2 linked regions of the Tribolium castaneum genome follow. The main gene of each other region encodes a partner of the protein of the gene in region 2 in a complex. Links are inferred from orthologs where the notes say so. Each region holds a gene or a part of one and is shown on either strand. Other genes may lie near its edges. The genes, in order: viaf and CCT4.

Region 1 (10,668 bases), on a different chromosome or scaffold from region 2:
TATAGCCAACGAAATCGAAAAGAACTACAAACTGTTGCACTCAATCGAAGAACACCAACAAATCAGCGGATTCGAACTGTTCGCCAAACGTGCGTCAAAACCTGAAGACTTGAAACCCCCAACTTTAAAAATGTTCAAAAGCGACGTCACTAACGTCTCACTTAAACATGTGAGCGAGCAATTAAGCTCGGTTTTCGCTTCGTGTAAAGGCATTTGGGCCAAAATCGAAAATAAGGTCTGGAGCGTGGGCCGCATGCCTGACAGTATAAATTTACTAATCAACGGGACCAGTAATTACGCGCGAAATATTTACGAAACTTTGGACGAGAAAGACCCGCGGTCGTGTTTCGACCAATTTGTGGTGAACGCCTTCAATTCGTGCTGCAAAGCTGGCCCGCTGTGTGAAGAACCACTGAAAAACTGTGTTTTCCTGGTGAAAAACTTTGAAGTCAGTCATGACGAGAGCTTGGACGGGACGACCAAAACCAGTGTTAATATCGAATCGGCTCTGAGTTCAGCGTTTCGCGAAGCGTTCGAAAAACAACAGCAGAGACTCATGGAACCGATGTTTACGACCAGTATTCAAGTCAACACAAATATTTTAGGAAAAGTCTACTCGGTTGTGAGTAAACGGCACGGGAAAGTTCTGGACGCTGTCGGAATGGACGAGCAAGAGAAAAGTTTTCTGGTTAAGGCCCAGATTCCGGTTGTTGAAAGTACGGGTTTTGCTAACGAAATGCGCAAAACGACTTCTGGGCAAGCGATTCCTACTTTGAAGTTTAGTCATTTTGAGATTATCGACGGTGATCCGTTTTACGAGCCGGTGGAGGACGACGAAGAAGAGGAAGATGTGAATGTGGAGTCGGCTATCAGGGCCACCAAACTTAGAAAAGCGATAAGGAAACGGAAAGGGTTGCACGTGGAGGAACAGGTGGTCGTGCATGGAGAGAAACAAAGGACGCTCAATAAGAAAAAATAAAAGTGAAACTAACACGTGAATAAATATTTTTGTAAGATGTTAGGCTTTGTTTTGGGGGCTGGGGATGACTATACTTTCACAAAATATATAAAACAAAAACAAAAAATAAAGTGATACAGTGCAACCTCGATAATCCAACCAAATACAACATGAGACTTATTTTGATTTGTAAAAAAATATTTACTATAATGATCATATAAAAATTCTCGACAAAATTATATAAAATACCTCAAAATTTAGCCTTGACTTTCAAAATTTCGTCAGATTAAGGGTTATTTTTTGCTTCCTGTTGGAAAAGTGGATAACTTTAAAATTTTTGTTTAGCAACTTCTGATTCGCTTGATGGATACAAAATTCAATATGTTGTCTATGTTGTTTTAAACAGAAGATTTACCTGCTATTTATCGTGTTTTTTTCAAAAACCCACCTTTTGGGAAATATTTAAGATTTTGCGTTTAATTTTTTTTTAATAATTACATGTGATTTTTTTAATAAACGTTTAAGTTTTAAGAGCAATGAAGTAAATGACTGCACAGGACACACAAAAATTACAGGCAGATAGGCATTAAATCATCTATAGCACTCAGTAAAAAACAGTAATTTATATATTTTATTTTTCCCATGTTTGACGTGAAAATTTTAGTCAAGTTTTCTCAATTTATCAAAAGTTTAGTGGTCAAAGTTCCTTTCCTTTTTCGAAGTAATTAACTAGTTTAATTTAAAATTAATTAAACAATTTGGTTCCGAGATGATCTAAACGCTACTTGATATCTCGTGCAAAAATGTTATTTGAAAATAAGTAATTCCTTCTTTTACAATGAAAATTGCCTTTTGTAGCAACTTCTAAATTCAAAATTTTCTATTTGTATTATGCAACCACAACATTACGTTGTTTTTACAAGATTATTTAACAATCTACATAATATTTCTCGGGAAATATTGTTTGGAATAGTTTGTTTTACAAAAGTCAAAGAATCTGTTCAGATTATAGTAGGTTTGGATTTTCGAGATCGAACTGTGTCTTTGAAGAAATCGAGGGAGGGATAATAAGTGGACACACATGATAAAAAAATGCACTATAAAATAAAACAACCACTCCACTACAAAATAAAAACACCTTAAATAAGACGAGCTTAATAACAATTCAAATAATGTGATACAAAAGAAAAGAGAACTAAGAGTTAGAAGAACTACTTTACCGCGTAAGAGTGGTAAATTGTCGAACAAACACCTTGAAAAACAGAATTGAAAAAATACAGACAAATGAACAAAACGAATAAACAAAACAACTAAACATAAATTAAAAGATGTGACCAAAAATTTGCAACTTGCCTCTAATACTAAAAAAATATACGAAACACAGGAAAGTAACATAAGATAAAAAGAACGTAAACAACAAAAGAAAATTTTGCTGTTGCGCCGCTGAAAACATAGTGGAAATGGATTTGGAAACTTCTATTGCACAAGAGTGATAAAATAAAAAAATCGTACCTGGCGAACTTTCCTCTCCCAAAGTGGGGCTCCTCACCCTCTTCTGAGGTTTGCGTACGCTTGGGGGCTTCTCAGGTTCAACAAACACATTGGGACTATCCAGATTATCATTTCTCGCCGGTTTGCAATTTTCGATATTCTCGATACAGTCGTAGTACGGCGTCTGTCCCTCTTTTGCACCTAATTGCTGTCCTTGAGTTATCACCAAGGGTTTCAACTGGGGCCTTTCTTTACGCGGAGTCTCCTCCAACCGCATTTTCAAGTGTAGTTGCCCCGGCAATGACACCAGTCTCAAAACAGCCCCTCTTTTTTTCCTCGAAAGCAACAAAAAATACGTAGCGGTGTGATAATCATATTTCCATTTTTTCAAGTGGCGCCACATTCTTTCCGGGTTTACGTTGTAATACGATGCCATAACGTCGACACAATCCTTGTCGTACTTTCTCAAATCAATTGAGGTGTAATCGACTGGGTCCAGGATACCCAACGTGAGCCAAGGGTGTGAGAGGAGCTCTTGCACGGTGATGCGTTTCTTGGGGTCCACTTGGAGCATGGAGGCGATGAGGCGCTTGCTTTCCGCGGACAGGAAAGGAGGCTCCGCGTATTTGCCACTCTGAAAATAAACATTTTTTTGACAGTGACACACACAAAAGCTTCCGTGTCAAAAATGTCACCATGTAAGTTTGCAAAATGCAACCGCCAGAATCGAGTAGTTCAGAAAGTGTTTACAGCACGATCTTGCAAAATCTCGCCGCAATTGAACCAATTTTACTGAAGGGAAACGGCCAAGTGACGCTTTTTGGCCTCAACAACCACTTTAGCCCCGCAATTCCAAGCCGATTAAGAATGAAAGTAGCGCCAGAAGAATACGCTTACACGATTTTTCTCATCAATAAGGTGCTAAGACGGAATTTCATCAACAATTTCGTTTGGTTTTTCTGCGGGTGCCTCACGTTTTGTTGCACGCTGGGCTGCTCAATGTGTCCGGTGGTTTATTTTAATAAGAGGACAATCAAGTCGTTACATAGAACATTAAAATCGGAAAATAACCGCTTGTATAATAAGCTGGGAATGCACTGGTCGTTGCACAAACAACACCTTGCGCCCTTTAATATAGTAGAATACGTGATAGTGATCAACTTCTTACCGAAACCAGAAATATATGTACCCGATTAAGATAATAAATAAACTCAACTCACCAGAATTTTTTTATACAAGCTATCGATGTTTATGTCATCAAAGGGCAAAGCCCCGACTAGGAGAGCATAGAGCAGGACCCCCATGGCCCAGACGTCCACTTCGGGCCCCAGATATTTCTTCCCCAAGACTAGCTCGGGGGCCGCGTAGGTTGGAGAGCCGCAAGACGTGTACAGGGGGCTCCCCATGCCCCCCTCAGGCCGGGCACATAAGCCAAAATCAATCAGCTTCAAGTTCTGGTCTTTATCGAGAAGGACGTTCTCCTGCAATTATTTTGTTACTTATATGTATTGAAAAGTTGTGAAAACACCTACTGGTTTAAGGTCCCTGTGTGCATACCCCAGACTGTGCAAATAAGCCACCCCTGACACAATTTGCCGGAAAAAAGTGCGGCTTTCCGATTCACTCAAGCGGTTTTTTTCGACAATGTGGTCAAACAGTTCGCCACCTGAGCAGTACTCAATAACTATGAAAAAGTGCGTTTCCGACTCAATCACCTAAAAAGCACAATTAGCAAGGCCTTTACGTTCTTTATGGTTGTTACTTGGTAGAGTTTGCAAATGTGTTGGTGTGAGAACGACTTTAAAGCCTTCAGTTCCAGTTTGACCCTTGGCAAGTCATCGCCAAGTCCCGTCTTGTTCATTATTTTAACTGCGACCTTTTCTCCGGTTGCTACATGAGTTGCGAGCTTAACTTTAGCAAATCCTCCACAGCCTATCGTCTTCTCAATCTCATACAAGCCTTTCAGTTCAGCGTAACGCACCATTTTGACTACTTGACAAACACTTGTTCTCCGACTACTTTATCACACAAAAACGGACAGTTGCACGATTTTTTGCTCAAATTACACACATATTTTTGTTAGAAATTTGCAAACATTAACGAATTTTCCGCATTTGAATTCGAATTGTTTTGACATCTGTCACTGGGCGGAGGACGCCGGTAGTCTGCGGTGGAAGTTGTGCTGGTTCGAATCACCAGTGGATCGAAAAGAAGTTTTAAGCCGAAAAGTTGGCCAAATCTTGTGTTTGATTTTTGGCTTTGGAGATTCTCTAATGTAAGGCACAATATCGCCTGTTTTTCTATTAAAAAATTATTTTTTGGGGTGCAAGTGTGGGAGTTTGAAACACTGGTAGATCAAAAAACTAATTTATTCAATACAGCAACAGCAATAAATAATAAAATTGTTACAAAATTCGTTAAGTAGATAAAGATGATTATTGCCGCATTACCAATCATTGGTACTAGCCAAATCTGCGAACATTTTATCTTTGATTTTCGGCTTTGGGTCTTCTTTAATACTGGTCTCAATAGCGCCTGTTTTTCCAATTAAAAATTCAAACTCTGGAAAAATAATAATTCAAATAATGTTTCACAACTAAATATTAATTTTCGTACCGTCTTGGGTCATATTTGGGCCCCTAAGTTCGACTGGACCCACAATTTGCGATTTTAATTCCCCTTCAAAGTACACAAAGAGAGTTGGTAAGTTTTTGTCGGGATAATTTGGTATACAAGTCGTTGAAATTGATTTCAGGAACTTAACAGCTGGGTATTTAGCTGCAAGTTGCTTCATATATTCATTAATTAGGGCACACAGCGGTATTCTGTAAAATAATTGTGTATTATTATAAAAACCACAACTTTTAGTCTTACCCTTGTTTGTATAAATGTAAAACAACCCAAATGCCTGTGCCAGCTTTATTAACTTCCTGCACATAATCTTGGGCTGAAATTTCACCTACTGAGCCAAATTTGGCTTTTTCAGCCAATGCTCTCATTTCAGCTATCCTCTTATTCCTGTATTCAAGAAGAACAGCTTCATCTTCAGAATCTTCCAACTCGTCTAGCTCATCAAGGTCTAGCTTTGAAAAATCTTTACCAGCTAAAAATGGACAAAAGTGAACAAAGTTTATTTTTGAATTTTAATGTGCAATCACTTGAGGTTTTTTGTTCAATTGTCTCTTCCAACATAGACACAATTTGATCCTCTGTTATCTCTGTTTCCTTCTTAGGAGGAATAATTCCCTTGCTTCTGAGAACATCGTTCCATTCAGTGTCCTCATTGGGGTCCTAAAATTATTAAGACCAGGAAAATAACACAAAAAAACCTCACATTAATGTACAAACCTGCATTTTGTTAAACTGTATGAGTCAAAAATATTAAAATTTTGAATTATTTACTGTTGAAGCTCTACATGTGACTACTTTACAAAAAAGGAAATTTGTGTAGTAGGCATGACACATCCGATGTTTTGCCGTCACGTAACATATTGTCATCTCGCTTTACCCCGAATGTTGGACGAAGATCGCAACAGTGACTCTCCCAGTTTGTTTTCGGAGTGGGGATAGTAGACAGCGCCAAATTTAAAACTTGTTCTCATTTTTATTTTTATTTAACATTAATTAGTGAAACCCAGCAACTGAATACTTCTTCAACAGTTTCTCCAAAACGGCTGGTAAAAGCGCCAAGAACTTGAACCGCTCGCCCATTTGGTTGCTTTCAGTCATCATTTTGTACCCAAATTCTAAACCCTCTATTTGGTCCGGTTTTGCATTTGCTTTAAGTGCCTTGAACCGATGCTCTATCCCCATTTTGAGCAAAAAGTCTCGCTGAGTAGTTGGCCCAAAAGTGATCACCCCTCCAGCTTCAGTGGCGCTTTTTGAAAGTGCGTCAAAATCTACATCAGCTGTGAGGTCTGCAGTGCCTGGTTCTACCAAAGGGTCGTGCAATTTGTGCTTTTTGAAGGCTCTGAATGTGTCAGTGCCGCTGCCATTGTGGCCGTAATCAGCAATCAGGGCTAAACCACCGTCTATTTCTAATCTCTCTGCAATTTGTTTGGCTAAAACTAGACTTTCAGGCGATATTTCAAAATGTTCGCGAGTCTCATTTGGTCTAATATAAAGTTTTGAAGCTGGAGTTTCCTCTCTGGCTATAACATACCTGGAAAGATATTTATACTATTACTTGTAGCAGTTTGAGTCAGCATAAAATACCTAAACGAACATTCTTTAGAAAGGTCTATATCTATTAAAATTTCCCTATAACCGTCTTTAGTCTTTTGGAACTTATGTACAGGCAAAGCGTCAAAAAATTCATGAGCTACCAATAACGTGAAACAATTCGGAACATCATCTAGTTGCCTGTACCACTTTACGGGAATCCCCTGATGACTTATCCCTTGCCTATGTATCACAGACTTTTTATCAATAATATTGTCCGACTGGATACACAGTTTCCTTGCTTGCAAATCACTCAAAAGAGGACTGACTTCAACCAAGTGCAAAGTGGCACTCTGTAGTGCGCCGAAATGGTCAAACACTCGCAACAAATCCTGACTTAAAGTGCCACGGCCTGGCCCTAATTCAACAATTTGAATTGGTTTAGGGGACCCCACTTTAGACCACTCATTCAAAAACCAAATGGCAACCATTTCTCCAAACATTTGATTGAGTTCTGGGGATGTAATAAAGTCCCCTGATTCACCAAACACGTCTTTGTGCATGTAATAGCCACCTAAAGGGTTTATTAACACTTCCTTCATGTATTCAGCGACTGTGATAGGGCCGGTGGCTTTGATTTTTGAGTAAATTTGCTTAGCCACTTGATGAGGGTCTTTGACGGACTCGTTACTCTTGACGGTGTAATACGACCGAAGGGTTTTTACAATACGGGTGCAACGTCGTATTTGAAACATTGTTCCTATTAATTATTTTTGAAATTTTGGAATAACCTCACTCTTGTCAGAGTGACAGTAGGTCTAGCGCTCCACCTTGTTAGATAATTGATTTTGTTTAAATAAAGAAGAAGATGTGAATATTTAAATTCTGTGACACGTATGATAACAGAAATTGTGCCCAACTAAAATAAAAAACTACCCAGTTAATCAAATTTTAAGTGAAATTTAGAGAAAATTAGGTCTAATGTCCAGTAGATAAATCCTTTGACAAGTCTAAATCGTATCATAACCACAGTTTTTCAGCGTGCCCCAGTTGTCACGTGTAATGTAATTTCTGGCGTTGTTTTTGTTTACAGGCGCCGGTTTTGGATAAAATAAAGGTAAGTCACTTCCCTAGGTTGTGTAAGTGTTCCCACATTTAAAGTTTTTGTTTCTAAAGATGAGCACCTCACTGAGCGAGCAACTCAAGCGCCTGGCTTTGCCCCAAACCTCGCTGTTACAAAGGGACAAGAAACGCCCATCTTTGCTCTTCGACCCTAAGGAAGCGGCTGGTTTGAAACGTGAGACCGTTTACCAAATCGGTCTTGACGGTTTAGAAGAATTGATCACGAAAAACCCAGTCTTTGAGCAGTTTAAAAGCAACATTTTTCACATAACTTCAAAAAAATTTGAGCGCGCGGTGCAATCCGCTGACGCAAACAAAAAGTTGGATAAAGTGATTAGGAAATTTCTGCTGCAATTGTCGCCTTATTTTTTGCTGAACTGTGCACATAAGGCGCTTGAATGGCTCATAAACAGATACAACATTCATGAATTTAACAGAGACGATTTGCTTATGCTTATAATGCCGTATCACGAGTCGAATATTTTCGTTAGAGTGGTGCAGTTGATGAAATTCAAGGATGAGAATGACAGTTGGTTCTTTTTGAAGTCGATTCAGAAAACTGGGGTTCATCTCACTAAACAAAGCCTACTAAACAAGGCATCAAGTGATGTTTATTTCCTAAAATTTGTGGCCAAATTCATCTCTCTGCTCGTGAAGCAATTTGAAAAACCCTCGTTACTCACCGTCGCTTTCAACTTTTATTGCACCGTTTTCGTGGGGGCTATTGAATATTCCTCCGAGTTAAATGAAGCTCAGATCACTCAGATGCTACCAGCGCTCCTCAAAGGCCTAAATTCGGACATTCCGGATTTTTGCGCCGCTTCGTACGTTATTCTGGGACGACTTGTAATGAAAACGCCGCTAACTGATGCAATTTTGGACAAATTCGTCGAAAAAGTATCCGTGTCGAAAGTTGAAACTTTGAAAACTGAATCAGTTTTGACTCTTTTGATTCTTTGCCAATCTCAGACTCATTACACTCAGTTACCGGAATCGGCTTGCTATAGTTTGATTGGGAAAAATTGGTTACCGAAAGTCTTGCAAGATTTGAGCAACGGAAATTGTTTCGTTACCCCATTTTTGAAGGTTTTGGTCAAGACGTGCTTGTATGGGGCTGTCAAACTGGACCTGGAGGAGTATCGCGCTTTTATGAAGACTCTTCTAGCGGCGATTAAATTCGACGACGCTTTCATGGAAATATTTTTAAGGTAATTACACAATTTTTGCGGTTTTCTGACAATTTCATTTTTTTTGTACAATTGTTCCCAACAGACCTAAAATAAATGAAACGAATTCGTCGCTTAACCGGCTTTGAACGTTTTTACACGTCCTTTACATTATTAAAGATAAAGAAATAGTCTCGGGAATTTTTTTGTATGAAATTTAATATTTTACAACTATTTTTCTTACATTTTTATTGTATCTTTCATAACGGTATAAAAATATTGGACGGAATACAAATATTTTTTTCTCATTTTTGTTGTGAAAATTAAATCAGTTTTTTGCATATTAACTAAATCAGTTTATTATCAGCCAAGTATGTATAATACCTCTTGGTACGTCACACTTATAGTAATAAGATAAAGACAAAAGAAAAGTTACCTACAATAAACAAACATTAAAATGCAAAATTTAAAGTTTAGGACACCAAAATATACATGAAAAGCATCAAAAAGCTATTTAAAAATTTTAATTTTTGAGATATTCTTCAATGGAATAGAAACATTGTTCTAGTAAATGTAAACATAAATTGTGGTGGAGATATTTGGAGGAAGGTTATAAAAAATTCTAATACCCGATACAAGGGGGCCCTTATCAGTGATTTTGAGGCGACGTGCTGGCAACACTAATTAGTAATATGTCTTGTATTAAAGCTATGTAGATTTAAATGTGTTGTTAAAAGGCCACGGTTTTTGTTAATACACCATGCAATTTCTAAGATGTATAGAAATGGTAATGGAAGGATTTAAAAATTTTAACTCGCCACACTAAATTTTTGTATCACATTTCGCCTCCGTAACTTTGACTCTTTTTTTGTAGTCTTCTTCTCGACCGTACCAAGACCAAGAAACCCTACTCGGAACACCTCCAAAAATGGCTAACGGAAATAATCGAAACGCTCGAACGCCAATACCCCGACCAATTCGATAAAGAAGTCTACAAAATCCTCTCGACAACGCAACAAGGCAAAGTGATCAAGCGACGAAAATCGCTTCAAAAAATCCTCACCGAAACAATGAACATTCGGTGCAAGTTCGACGTTTTGGCCAAGTTATATCACCCCAACGTCACATACCGAAAAGAAGCCATCAAATATCTTGTCAATAATTATGACTCTCTCCGCGACCGTGAAAAAGAAATGATCAAAAGCTCGTTCATTGATCGCCTGAACGACGACAGCGTGGAAGTCGTTCATGAAACACTAAACCTGATCAAAAATATATCTGTTCTGAAGACAGACGCGCTGAAGGACGTTTTGACCAAACTGGCCTACAAGTGCCAGAGCGATTTGAAGACTTGGGGGTCCGTCTCGACCGAAATTGTGCTCATGTTGTGCGAGCAAAGCGAGGCAAACGACTGGGAAACGTTCGTAGCCGTGCTTCCCTACTTATTACCAAACTCTGAAAATCAGTTAAGTGCAGCACAAACAATTGCCGAAAGTTCGTTCTGTCGTAAAAATTGCTTGCTGAAGAAGATTAACGCCAAAGGTGAGGATTGTGCCCAGTTTTGTAACAGCGTTTTTGACTCAATGCGGAACAACAACAAAGAACTGGTCAACGACTTTATCGCCTGTATTCACAAAACGACAGATCGTTCCGTACTCAGCAAATATCTGATAATTCTTATTCTGAGCATCATCCTACCTGAAAATAGCTCAATTGAGAGCAACATCACAATCGTCAAAATCTTTATCGAGTTTATCGAAAATTGTGAGA
Region 2 (12,063 bases):
TTCTTTTACTCTATCCTTCAGCTTCAGGAGAGCATCGTATGTTCTCGGAAATGAACCAGTTGCCTTCTCCATCTCTTCAGCAGCTATTACAAACATATAGCTAGCTATCTTCTGGAGTTTCGCTCACTGCGTTGAGTCCCAGCGCAACTGTTGGCTTAATGGTTACTACCATGGCATTTATAGGGTTCTCTCCTTTTAGCACATTTTGTCTGTACCGTGGGCACCGCTGACTAAGTAATCGCAGCAGTGCCCCCTCCTCTTTTTGCTCCCTCGATCTAATAATCACCGGAGCAACTTCCTCTACTTGTGCAAAGGGGCTAATTGCCATTACCTTTACTTTCTCGTAGTGAGAATCTTCCCACTTACAGTCCATCAGGGTTCTAAAATCGCTGAATATCCTTGTCTTCTTTCGAAGAGGTCCGGAAGGAGACTCAGATAAATCTGTCGGAGTGGCGGCTTGTAATCCTGAAGTCACCATTTCCATAGCCCCAAAACACTTTGTTTATATTTTTATTGATTTATCTCCGTTCATCTTCTCATTGTTTTATTTTTGGCGGTCCTTTTAAATAAAACACAAATACAACATAACGTTTATTCAAGAAATCCTTTTAATTAACATATTGTTTGGAAAATATGCTACCCATATTTCTAATACCAAACAAATATTGAATCCAAAATTTTTGTAACACTGTAAAGAAAGAAAGGAATTATGTGTTAAACTAAATAAAGGGCTAAAAAACCCCACCAAAACTTTCAATTTTTGCTCCATGTCACTACAAAAAAAATCAAATGCGCTTTTGCAAAATTCTAAGAACTGCTGAAATGGGATATAAATTTTAAAATATCCGCCATACTTAAAACTTTCTGGTACCCATGGCTGCCAATCCCTCTTATCATCTGCTGTTTTGAATGTCACTTTTTGACACGTTGATGTGGTATTTTCCTCTTTTTCGTCGCTTATTTTTTCTTTAATATGTGAAAATGGCAAGTGTTGATGACGACAACGGATGGTAAGTTTTCAAGCATAATAAAGTTGCCTCAATTTTTTGTTGTTGTAAAACGAAACCAAGTCTCGCCTGTGCAGTGTCATTTATTTACTTTAGTTATTATTTTATTATAGGGTGGCTGATTTAGAAAGCGCTTTACTGGAAGAATGTTCAGTTGCTGATATTTACTGTATTTGCAAAGGCAAACCTTTACCTGACAATTTACGAGCTGAAGTCTGGCAGGTTAGCAACATACCAATCATTTTGCTCGTCATAAATAATGTGTCGTATTTTTTTTAGATATGTCTCGACGTAAGAGACAAGGGGAACCAACTCGATCACTTTAACGAAATCTATGATTTGCCTAATCAATCTGTGCTACGAGAAGACTGTCGAAATTTCGTTTCAAAACTCGGCAATGACGAAGAGGATAAATTATCCGTTGTATCCGATTTAGAATCGATTTTAACATTTTATTGCAAAAGTCGCAACTTGACTTATATTAAAAACAACGGCTGGATTGAGCTTCTGCTCCCTTTGCTAACACTGAAAGTGAATCGTTCAACCACTTACAACCTGTTTGAGGCAATTAGAGACACTTACGTGCCTCAAAATTGTCACACAAATGACGGCAACGCTTTCCATATTTTGCGTCTTTTATTGCTCTATCACGATCCAGAATTGTGTTCATTTCTTGACACTAAACGTATCACACCTGATAAATATTGTCTGACATGGTTCCAGTCACTTTTCGCAGCCACTTGTAATTTACAAGTCGTCATAAACATGTGGGACTATTATTTTCAACAGTCTGACCCGTTTTTCATTTTTTTCCTCTCGTTAATCATGGTAATAAACGCACGCGAGCAAATCATTTCAATGAAAAGCGAATCTCGAGATGTAATTATTTCGAATTTGACGAACATGCCGTGTGCTCTTGAGGCTGAAGACGTTGGTGATTTTTGTTCCTTGGCCCAATATTATGCCCTTAAAACACCCGTTAGTTTTCGGACCGATTTAATGCAAAACTTGTATAATGGCACAAATGATGCTGTAGTCTCTCAAGCGTTATGTCTCCCAGTTTCCGTAAGCGAACTAGTTGAAAATACGTCCAATGAGAGTGGAAATATAGACGCTGTAAGATTTTTCCTAGTTGATTGTCGACCTGTGGAACAGTACAATGCCGGTCATTTACCTACAGCTTTTCACTTGGACTGTAACTTAATGCTTCAAGAACCAAGTGCTTTTAATACTGCTGTTCAAGGCTTACTTTCGGCGCAAAAACAAGCTCTGGCACATAATTCTACAGCAGGTGGTGAACATTTGTGTTTTTTGGGATCAGGTCGTAACGAAGAAGATCAATACACTCATATGGTTGTGGCTTCTTTCCTACAGAAGCACACTCAATACGTTTCACTTCTAACAGGAGGTTATTGTGCTCTTCATCATTACTTTTCGGATGATTTAGAGTTTTTACAAGATCATAATCCCAAACTTTGCATTGTGTGTGGCCCAATGCAACAACAACAACAACAACAGCAAGGTCAAGTCAAGGGACAATCGACCGATTTGTTTGGGAAAATTTCAGCAGCAATGAAATCGAAATCGGCCGAAGTTAAAGAAAAACTTATCGATTATATCGTTAATCCCAACAATAGTCCCGTGCAAGAGAGACATGTTAGCAGTAGCGACAAAATCGGGAAAAGGTACCGAAATGTGGCACCTGTTTTTAGTATAGATGATGATCATGAAAATGCTACCACCAATAACATGGAAGATGCAACTAATGAAGAATGTCGCGAATTGGTACAAATACAATCATGGTTGAAACATCCCGAAGTTATTGAACATTTTCCGTGTCAGGAGGTGAAAATCAATGGTTTTATGTACAAAAGTCACTTGATTGTGACTAACAGTGAGCTTATAGTACTTAGAGAAATGCCCGATAGGAAAGGTGGCATTGCTGAAGTTATTGTAAAACGCCCCCTGTCGGCGATTGTTAAAATAACAGCGAGGAAACGTCATCCTGAACTTATCACTTTCAAGTATGGCGTGCCAGATGGTGAGAATTTAATTATATCTGACATGGATCGATTTCTTATACCCAATGCCGATAAAGCTACAAAAGTTGTATCTGAACAGATTTTAAAGCAGTTGAAGAATAAGGAGTAATTTGGAAATTTAAATAGAGTTACACATATTTATTGTTACTGTAGATATTTTATTATAGGAAAAAAAACTTTAACCATTTGTTTATTCTTATCTAAATAAAACAATGCTTAAACGAATCCACAATATTGTTATTTTTGTAATAATACTAATTTTGTTACAAATGATCGTACTTAACAAAAAAATTAAATGAAGCAATTTAGAAAAGATCTATGTCATCGTGTTCACCTGGAAAAGACAAAACATTGTTTAAAATTTTGTACTTATGGTAGGTAGGACTATACTGGGCACATTATCCAGTTAAAAAAAAATAAACAAAATAGCCTTTTTTACAATTAACAGATTCGTTTCATTTTACCGGTGGTCAAGTAACAAGTTTTATATTTTTTTATTTATTAAAGCCCTCAACTTCGTTTCGGTCTTCAATATTAAAACTTCACGCTATAAAATTATTATACAATTATTATTACTTTTCTTTAAAATCTTATTTCAAATTTTGCGTCAGTATAGTTCAACCTTAAAAAAAACAACTTACAATATCATCAATTTTCAAAATTGATCGGACCGTTTCGGTAGCAAACGTTATCGCACTGACGCTGACCAACAACGGTTGTACCACATTCTCCTCTAAAATATCCGAAATCGAGCCCTTTCTCACATTAATCCCTGCTGAAATTTCTCCTTTCGCATGTCTATTCCTCAATTCTGTCACCGTTTGAATTGGATTCAAACCAGCATTTTCGGCCAACGTAAACGGAATAATCTCCAAAGCATTTGCAAAAGCTCTCAAACAGATCGCATCAATACCCTCTTTTGTATCAGCCAAAGCAGCCAGTTTCAAGGCCAATTCAATCTCAGGTGCACCACCACCTGCTACAATTGCTCCTTTTCGTACCAAACAACGAATCACACACAATGCATCATGTAAAGATCTTTCCGCCTCTTCAAGGACTAATTTATTCGAGCCTCGAACCAAAAGTGTCACTGTTTTACCGGCATTTTGAGCACCGGTAATCTTCACCATACGATTGCCGCCAACACCGATCTCTTCAACCAAATCGGCTGAAACGAGATTTTCGGCGGTAAAGTGATCGAGAGATGCGATAGGACGACAACCGAGTGATTTACACACAAATTCAACGTCTTCACGTTCAATGTCTTTGACGACCATACATTTGATTTTATCGAGAAAATGAAGAGCGAGATCAGAGACGGCATCGCGAAGAATTGATTTCTGGATCTAAAAACAAAACAACAGGTAACTATCTATAATGACGCCTATTAAGACACAAGTACGAAAATTACAAGCCGTAGGCGAGAGTCGTATAGCCTACAGGTATATTAATAGCCATTAAAGTTGCATACACTACTTTTTTTATGATTCGATGGGTTAAAGTACAAAAAAAAATTTTTTAATGTCGAATTATTTTTTAAATGTCAAACGCACAAAGGCAGTCAAATATCTAATTGCTACCATTTACGGTCACAAGTTGTCCTCGTGATCGTTACACTATATTCTCGTTGGTAACAAACATTTAAGCAATAAATAAATTAAAGTATGAGAGTAGAAAAAAAATTTTAATTACCAAAAGGACATTACATCCAGCCTTCTTGATCTGCTTGACAATATTCAAAATATAAGTCCTCTCTTCCTTAAGAACTCTATCCATAGCAGCATAATCAGAAACAACAACATTATGATCCATATCGGTTTTAGGTGCAGAAATACAAAACTGAATAAATCCAATTTTGGCTTTCTCTATACGTTTCGGGCCATTGACATTTGCAACTTTTTGAGGAAAAACAACACCATCTATTAATTCGGTATCTTCAACAGTGCCCCCAATTTGCTTAATGACTTTAATATCTGACAAAGAAACGACTTGTTCACGCCCTGAAATTAAATAATAATTATTTTACACATAACTAATTTTTCTCCAAACAAACCTGGTTCTACGACCTTTAAAACCGCATCAACAGCCAAAGGAGCCAACAGACTTGATTGTTGTGAAACAACCTTTGAATTCAATGATGTTGACGCACTTTTAACCATTTGTTCGCGATTATCTAATTGAATCGGCTTAGAAATGCTTGTTAAAACCTGAAAATTGCATATAAAATAATTATAGCGTGGTATGAAATATAAATAAAACTTACATCGACGGCGTGTTTGGCGGCTCGTTGAAATGATTCAGAAATTGCAGTTGGGTGAATCCCCCGTGTTAATAATTTTTCAGCAGCATCGAGTAAAGCCCCCGCTACTACAACAACAGTAGTGGTACCATCGCCAGCTTCAACATCCTGAGCACGTGACAGCTCAACTAACTAAAATAATAATAAATTTTTTCAAATAATGATTTTACGTTTTTACCATTTTTGCAGCTGGATGTATGACATTCATTTGTTTCAAAATCGTAGCCCCATCGTTGGTGATGGTGACTTCACCATTGCTCGCCTGAATCTAAATTAAAACAATCATTAGAAAAATTATTAATCATTGAGTACCTATATACCATTTTATCCATGCCTCTTGGCCCCAAACTCGTACGAATGGCATCGCATACAGCTGTCAAAAAAATGTACGATATTATATAAACGTAGCGAAATGAGTCGATAAAACCGGCTTGAAACATTGTAAGTTCATGTAATAATTATAAAAACGATTACACGAAGGAAAATTTAGAAGTATTTTTTTAAAAAAACTATGTTTACCTTTTGCGGCATTGATATTGCTGAGACGGACATCGCTCGGCTTACTTTTGTCTTTGTAAACCACACCTCGCGCTTTATTTCCATCACCCATTGATGCTTGAATCGTCATTTTTCACGAATTATATGAAAACACGTTACTATTAATTGTAACTTAACGGATGATTGTAGATATTTGTCGACACAAACTTATTTTTCAACACACAAAAATGACAGTTCCATTAACTTTGACATCGATGAGAAGATAGCACCAAAAATGGTGCTGGCACCATGAACATTACAGTGGACCAGACAATCGCTGTGTGCATAGAGCTAACACTATTTCCCACCATTCTCGTTTTCTACAGCCAAGTTCACACCAAGAAAATTATCAGAATAATCGTAAATCATTATAAAAACATCAATAAGCTGTTACACTGACTTGCATATCACATTTCTAGAACATTTCCTGACCATTCTAATGTGTATCTATTACAAATTAAAACTTAACTGCATTTAATTTCTGCATTTTTTATTCTCATATTCATGAAATGCAAACTGATTTTTTTTCACACTCTTTATATCCCGCAATTTTCTTTATTTTTGCAGGAATTTAAGCCCACTGATAGGGCCTTTAACTGTAAAAAAATCATGTTTGGGCAAACACCCCTTGAGACCTTAACGAATTTTTTTAATTTTTATAAAGTTACTCTATTTTGCAAATTTTTTTTTCACCCACTTTATACCTTGCAATTATCTTTATTTTTGCAAGAGATTAAGCCCTTCGATAGGGCCTTTGACTGTAAAACAACCATGTTTAGACAAACAGCCCTTGAGGCCTTAATGAATTTATAAAGATTCTTTAAAATTTTCCGATTTTGCAAACTATATTTTTTTTAATCAACTTTATATCCTGAAATCCTGAAAGCCATCTAATAAGGCCTTCGACTGTAAAAAAATCGATTTTGCAAACTGCGTTAAAAAAATTTGTATTTAAGAATTGCTCTTATTAGTCAAATTAATAATTAATTTGTCCAGCAAGAACCACGTAGAGGTTTAGAGCATTCTTGCCAGGAGAAAAGGGAATAAGGATGAGGTAAACAATGATTATTGGAAAATAAAGGGAATAAAGGAATTATTGGTTCGTGAAATAAAAAAATACAACACAAAGATAAAATGCACTTACCTTTATGGCTTCTGCGTTGGCTACTGTTTGTAGCAAAACAATAAAAAGAAATTAAAAATAACACCATTAAAAAATCTTTATTTGCATGAAAGTAACATAAATAAATTTTGAGAAAGCGACTTTCATCGATTAAAATTAATGTCAAAATCAGTACGCGACAATAAATTATTTGAGTGTTTTATTTTATTTATAGTTACTGTATTTAAAACGTGTCACTCAAACTATAACTTTTCAACACCGCATTTAGAGCCGGTGTACACATTTTAATTGCAATTAAATTTTACGGAATTATTGGTTTGTGAAATAAAAAAACAACAACACAAAAATAAATGGTCAGGAGATGTTCTACAAATGTGATATGCAAGCCAGCGTAACAGCTTATTAATGTTTTTAAAATGATTTACGATTATTTTGATAATTTGCCTGGTGTGAACTTGGCTGTAGAAAACGAGAATGTTGGGGCAATGTTGCTAGCACCATGCGCGCAGCGATTGTCTGGTCGACTGTAATGTTCATGGTGCCAGCACCATTTTTTGGTGCTGTCTTCACCGACATGTAACTTTGGACCTTTGGACAGTTGACTGGTGAGTTGGTGTTTAAAGTTACGAGAAGAAATTTTTTGGAAATTTGAATAATAATAATTAAAAAAAAAATTCAAATGGTGGTAAAGATGTAGACATATTTGTATGTATCAAAGTATGTGCATTATTATTATTATCGTAGGTTTAATCAATAATCAATCACACATTTTGAATGTGTGACATAACCTAAACATTTTCCAAGAATGAGTTATCAAGAGATAAAAAATAAAATGGCTCGTAAAATGGTATTTACTCAACAATTGGCTCAACAACTAATACAATTGTAATAAGTCGTAAATTCTGTGAATATGTCGACGTTTTCGTGGATCGAATTGTTCCCTACAAAACTGAGTTTTGTAATTTTCTTAGCTTATATATTGTTGTTTGTAGGGCAAGGTAACTATCAATGTTATATTTCCGGTTTAACGCTTTTTTTCTTTATAGGAATATTAGTAACAGCCTCTCAAAAAGCAGACAATCAGTATGATTATAACATAATTACGGTAGTTCTACTAACTGAAGTTCTTAAATTGATTGTGTCAACATTGTTGTACTGTAAAGAGTAAGTTTTTCACTTTCAAGTAAAATAATTTTAACAATTTCGAGTTGTAGCAATTCTCCAAAGTCGCTAGTCAACAATATAGTAGAAAATAGGAAAGTATTAGGGCTTTATTTTGTACCTGCACTCTTGTATTGTTTCTACAATAACCTTGCTTTCGTTAACTTATCAGTATTTGACCCCACAACTTATTACTTACTATTGCAATTGAGAGTTGTAGTCACTGGAATACTATTTCAAGTCATTTTTAGTAAAACTTTAAGCAAGAAGCAATGGCTTTCATTGTTAATTTTAACATTTGGATGCATGTTAAAACAGATTAATTTCACCAATCAAGAGAAAAAATCATTTATTTCGTTCGATATCGTTGGTTTAAATGGCATTTTCATTCTTTTGCAAATTTTTTGTTCATGTCTTGCGGGAGTCTATAACGAATATCTTTTAAAAAAACAAGGAGCTGATGTGAATATTTTCATTCAAAATGTTTTCATGTACTTGGATTCGATTGTTTGTAACGTGGTTTTATTAAGCGTACGAGTCTCTTTATCATCCGCGTTCACTTACGAAAACATTAGCAAAGTATTCCATTACAAAGTATTACTAGTAATGTTTAATAATGCCGCAATTGGTATTGTCACTAGTTTTTTCCTCAAAACTTTAAATTCCATTTTAAAAACTTTCGCCAGTGCCTTAGAGCTGGTTCTGACGGCTATCTTGAGTTATTTATTTTTTAGGATTGCCATTCATTTAAACACGGTTCTTGCTATTGGTGCTGTCATGTATGCCGTCTATTTATATTCCCAGAATCCAGTCTCATCAAAGGCCAGTAGTCGACAAAGCGATCAAATCGCTCTTATTAAAAGTGAACAAGTTTAATGTGATTTTATTTTTTTTATTTCTACACAATTGACTGCTGAAAATTGGTGTGTGATTTATTTCATTTTTAATGTAATCAAGTTTAATAAATTGTTAAAGCCGAACGACGTTTTTATCATCCCTGACGCACAAAAAAATTATTTTGAACAGTCAATTTTAATTCGTATTATATACAGAGGATGGCCTAAGTAATAACAATAATAGTATAAGTAACAATCTCAATGAATGAAAACTATGTAATGTCCCCCCTCTACACATAGACCTAAAACGTTCTTTATTGCGTTTCTTCCTTCCTGGCAATAAATACAGGGTCGCCAACATTAATAAATCCAGTTTTTGCAACTTCTAAATTCGTTCCGAATCTTGGTCCATGATCAGGTCCTGAATGTTTGCGATATCTGTAAAACAAACAATTTTGTTGGTTGCTTGATTATTTTTCTACTAACGTTTCCAAAGTTTTCAACGGTTGCCTATTTATATCCCTGATTCCGTTTTCAGACGAAATGGTTGTAAAGACACACCTAGTACAGTCTTTAACATTTCTCAAAATAACATTATCGCCGACTTTGATCCAATCCCAATTGTCTTCATCATAAGGTTGCAAATCAGGTCCATCAACAATAATGTTGTGTCTGAAATTTTCAACAGTAACATTGGAATTGTTACCAACTCGTTTATTCAAATCGTGAACTGAATGTTGATTGATGAGAGTAACACTCGACAAGTCTGCAAACAGGCCCTGAAATAATGTACGAATTAATAATAAATACAATATTTTAATTTGATTTGCACAAACAGTTGAATGGTTGCTTAAGTTCTTGTAGTAGTTGAGGAGTTTGTGGTGGGTTTTTGTAATATCGCGTCGATGACTGGCATCGTTGTAACCTAGTCTTAGACCAAAATCTCGCTCAATTATGTATCGGGAAAACCAGCCAGCTGCCTCATCTCCACAATCAATTGCTTCAATATGTTCGTTGTTCCAACACTTGACTTTAGCAACGGCGTTGTCTTTTCGGTTGGGTATTTTAACGTAGAGTGTCCTCATAGTGGGAGCATCTATGGCAAGGTGATCCTCATCGTGGACCGAAACATCAATGAGGACCATTTTTGGGTAGGTCCGAGCAGTGCGAAATTCATGGTCCTTAGCTCCATAAACTACCAAAACCCTAAAAAAACATTATATAATGATGGAATTTTTCGCTACCATGTTGGATTTGTTATACCTGTCTCTTAACTGAAAGATCTTTTCGTCCTCTTTAGTTTGTCTAAGTCCAACTTCTGTTACTTCAGCCCTTTGTAATTCGACTCTGTGTCCACTTTTAAGTGGATACAAGTGAAGTTTTTTCACGCTTCCTATGCGTTCCCAATTCGAAGGTATTTTGACCTGTTTCCATTTTTGATACAAGTAGGAACCAACGACAGTAACAGCAGTCACAAGACTTGTAAAAAGGACGGTTTGTGTCACACTGTTGAGACCCATTTTCAGACACTAAAAATTTATTGTGTGGAATTAAGCTTTAATTTTCTTATCATAATTGGTTGTAAATTAATATAGTCAGACGGTTATAGTCAACAAACGTTCCGTGATTTATTTAGATATTAAAGTTGCGTCATTTCGTTTGTTGAATGAAATTTTTTGATAAATTGCGGAAAAAACGCACACCCCAATTATATTCGTGTAATTACCATTATTATTTACTTACAAAAGTGTCATCAAATAACAATTAGGGAATTACTAGAGCACACAATGTCGTGCGACTTCGACGGGGGTCAAATTAATCATAAAAACTTGTACAAATACAAAAATTATCTTGAATTATATGATAAGCTACGAGATAAAATGGTGACCAATTGTGAACTTTCTGTGTATAAATAAATATTTTCTTAATTCTTACCGTTTCAAGTCGTTTCAACGCGAGAAAACTTAAACATGTGATAATGTTTAGAAAAAACACTTTGCGGTTGCGAGCTAGGCAACAAATAATACATATGACCTTATACTATTAAAATATTCTAATATTTTTCGGAAAAATTATTTAGAATTTAGAATATTTAGTCAACTCAAATAAAATATTTTAGACAAAAATTTAATTCATACTTTGCAACATTTTATGATATAAAAAATATTTTCCAGCGACAAAATTAATTAGTACGAATAATGCGCTTTCAGTTTTTTCACGTATAGATTTCTTATGTTTTGTCGTTATTACATTTATGCTATTTTATCTGTAGGTAGGTATTATATTATAAAAACGACTTCAATTGATAGGATGATAATAAAAAAAGCTAAGAACTACCAGGAAATCATTCATGAAGTTTTTTCTTCTTAAAAAGGTCTGAAATATGTGACATGTCATTAATTCGTTTAACTCTCACTTTGATTTTATTACCGAAAATCTAAGCACAACTTCAATAAACAAGAAAAAAGGTTTCATCAAGAAATATTAAACATACATGAGAGACGACACAACGGAAAAAGTAGGCAGAAGCAATGATGATAGCAGATTTTTGTTGCCTGACTACAGTGGAAAATATGAAAAGAAAGAAACTATTACAAAAAAATATGCTATTAACATGCAAATAGTTAGATTTTTTAATGATTTTTAGTGTTTTGGAACGAATTATAACATTTGTTGAAAGTAAATTAATATCGCAATCATTAAATTCACTAAATATAATCTACAATTTATATAAAAATCTATTACAATAAAAGTTTATGTGATACCTTATTTCAATTCAGAAGCATTAAATTTATAATACTTGTTATAATCACGCATAATAATAAAGAGAAAAAAAAAATTATTTTTGGAGACAAGTGTAATAGCAGGTAATAATAATGAAATGGCTTGAAGCATGGCAGTTTCACTATCTCTATTCCTATTTTTTTATACACGTGAGTCGTTTATTATTTCTAGAAACAAAACAAAGGAAAATTTATTTGCATTGTTTTATTTAATCCTTCGGTGCACTGTAATTTAATAGTAAACAAATGAAAAGTAAAAGGTATTTACTTTATAG

The links.
Region 1: the proteins of CCT4 (region 2) and viaf are in contact, whole or in part, in a cryo-EM structure (PDB 8I9Q), measured with the Homo sapiens proteins. The link is inferred for Tribolium castaneum from reciprocal best matches to the Homo sapiens genes CCT4 and PDCL3. Residues at the interface, in NP_006421.2 of Homo sapiens: Val266, Gln271, Met272, Leu276, Glu279, Arg280, Leu312, His315; in NP_076970.1 of Homo sapiens: Ala70, Ile71, Tyr74, Arg75, Arg78, Leu79, Trp82, Lys86.

Annotation. Positions count from the first base shown.
Region 1 is NC_087394.1:28,836,411-28,847,078, forward strand, and holds viaf (viral IAP-associated factor homolog), read right to left. Parts: upstream 5,948-10,668; 5' UTR 5,804-5,947; coding exon 5,798-5,803; intron 5,741-5,797; coding exon 5,608-5,740; intron 5,553-5,607; coding exon 5,324-5,552; intron 5,275-5,323; coding exon 5,066-5,274; intron 5,012-5,065; coding exon 4,896-5,011; 3' UTR 4,803-4,895; downstream 1-4,802. Other genes in the region: maternal embryonic leucine zipper kinase, read right to left, coding at 2,471-3,083, 3,670-3,930, 3,982-4,164, 4,212-4,433; elongation factor-like GTPase 1, read left to right, coding at 1-979; protein arginine methyltransferase NDUFAF7 homolog, mitochondrial, read right to left, coding at 6,074-6,611, 6,665-7,365; l(2)k09022 (HEAT repeat-containing protein 1 homolog), read left to right, coding at 7,787-8,940, 9,773-10,668. UniProt on the Homo sapiens protein: Acts as a chaperone for the angiogenic VEGF receptor KDR/VEGFR2, increasing its abundance by inhibiting its ubiquitination and degradation.
Region 2 is NC_087402.1:72,016-84,078, forward strand, and holds CCT4 (T-complex protein 1 subunit delta), read right to left. Parts: upstream 6,107-12,063; 5' UTR 5,977-6,106; coding exon 5,868-5,976; intron 5,722-5,867; coding exon 5,669-5,721; intron 5,617-5,668; coding exon 5,527-5,616; intron 5,481-5,526; coding exon 5,313-5,480; intron 5,257-5,312; coding exon 5,103-5,256; intron 5,050-5,102; coding exon 4,742-5,049; intron 4,396-4,741; coding exon 3,691-4,395; intron 3,384-3,690; coding exon 3,366-3,383; 3' UTR 3,187-3,365; downstream 1-3,186. Other genes in the region: TBC1D23 (TBC1 domain family member 23), read left to right, coding at 982-1,010, 1,121-1,229, 1,287-3,158; UDP-galactose transporter senju, read left to right, coding at 7,919-8,006, 8,055-8,172, 8,223-9,045; Marc (mitochondrial amidoxime reducing component 2), read right to left, coding at 9,320-9,443, 9,492-9,784, 9,842-10,211, 10,269-10,525. UniProt on the Homo sapiens protein: Component of the chaperonin-containing T-complex (TRiC), a molecular chaperone complex that assists the folding of actin, tubulin and other proteins upon ATP hydrolysis.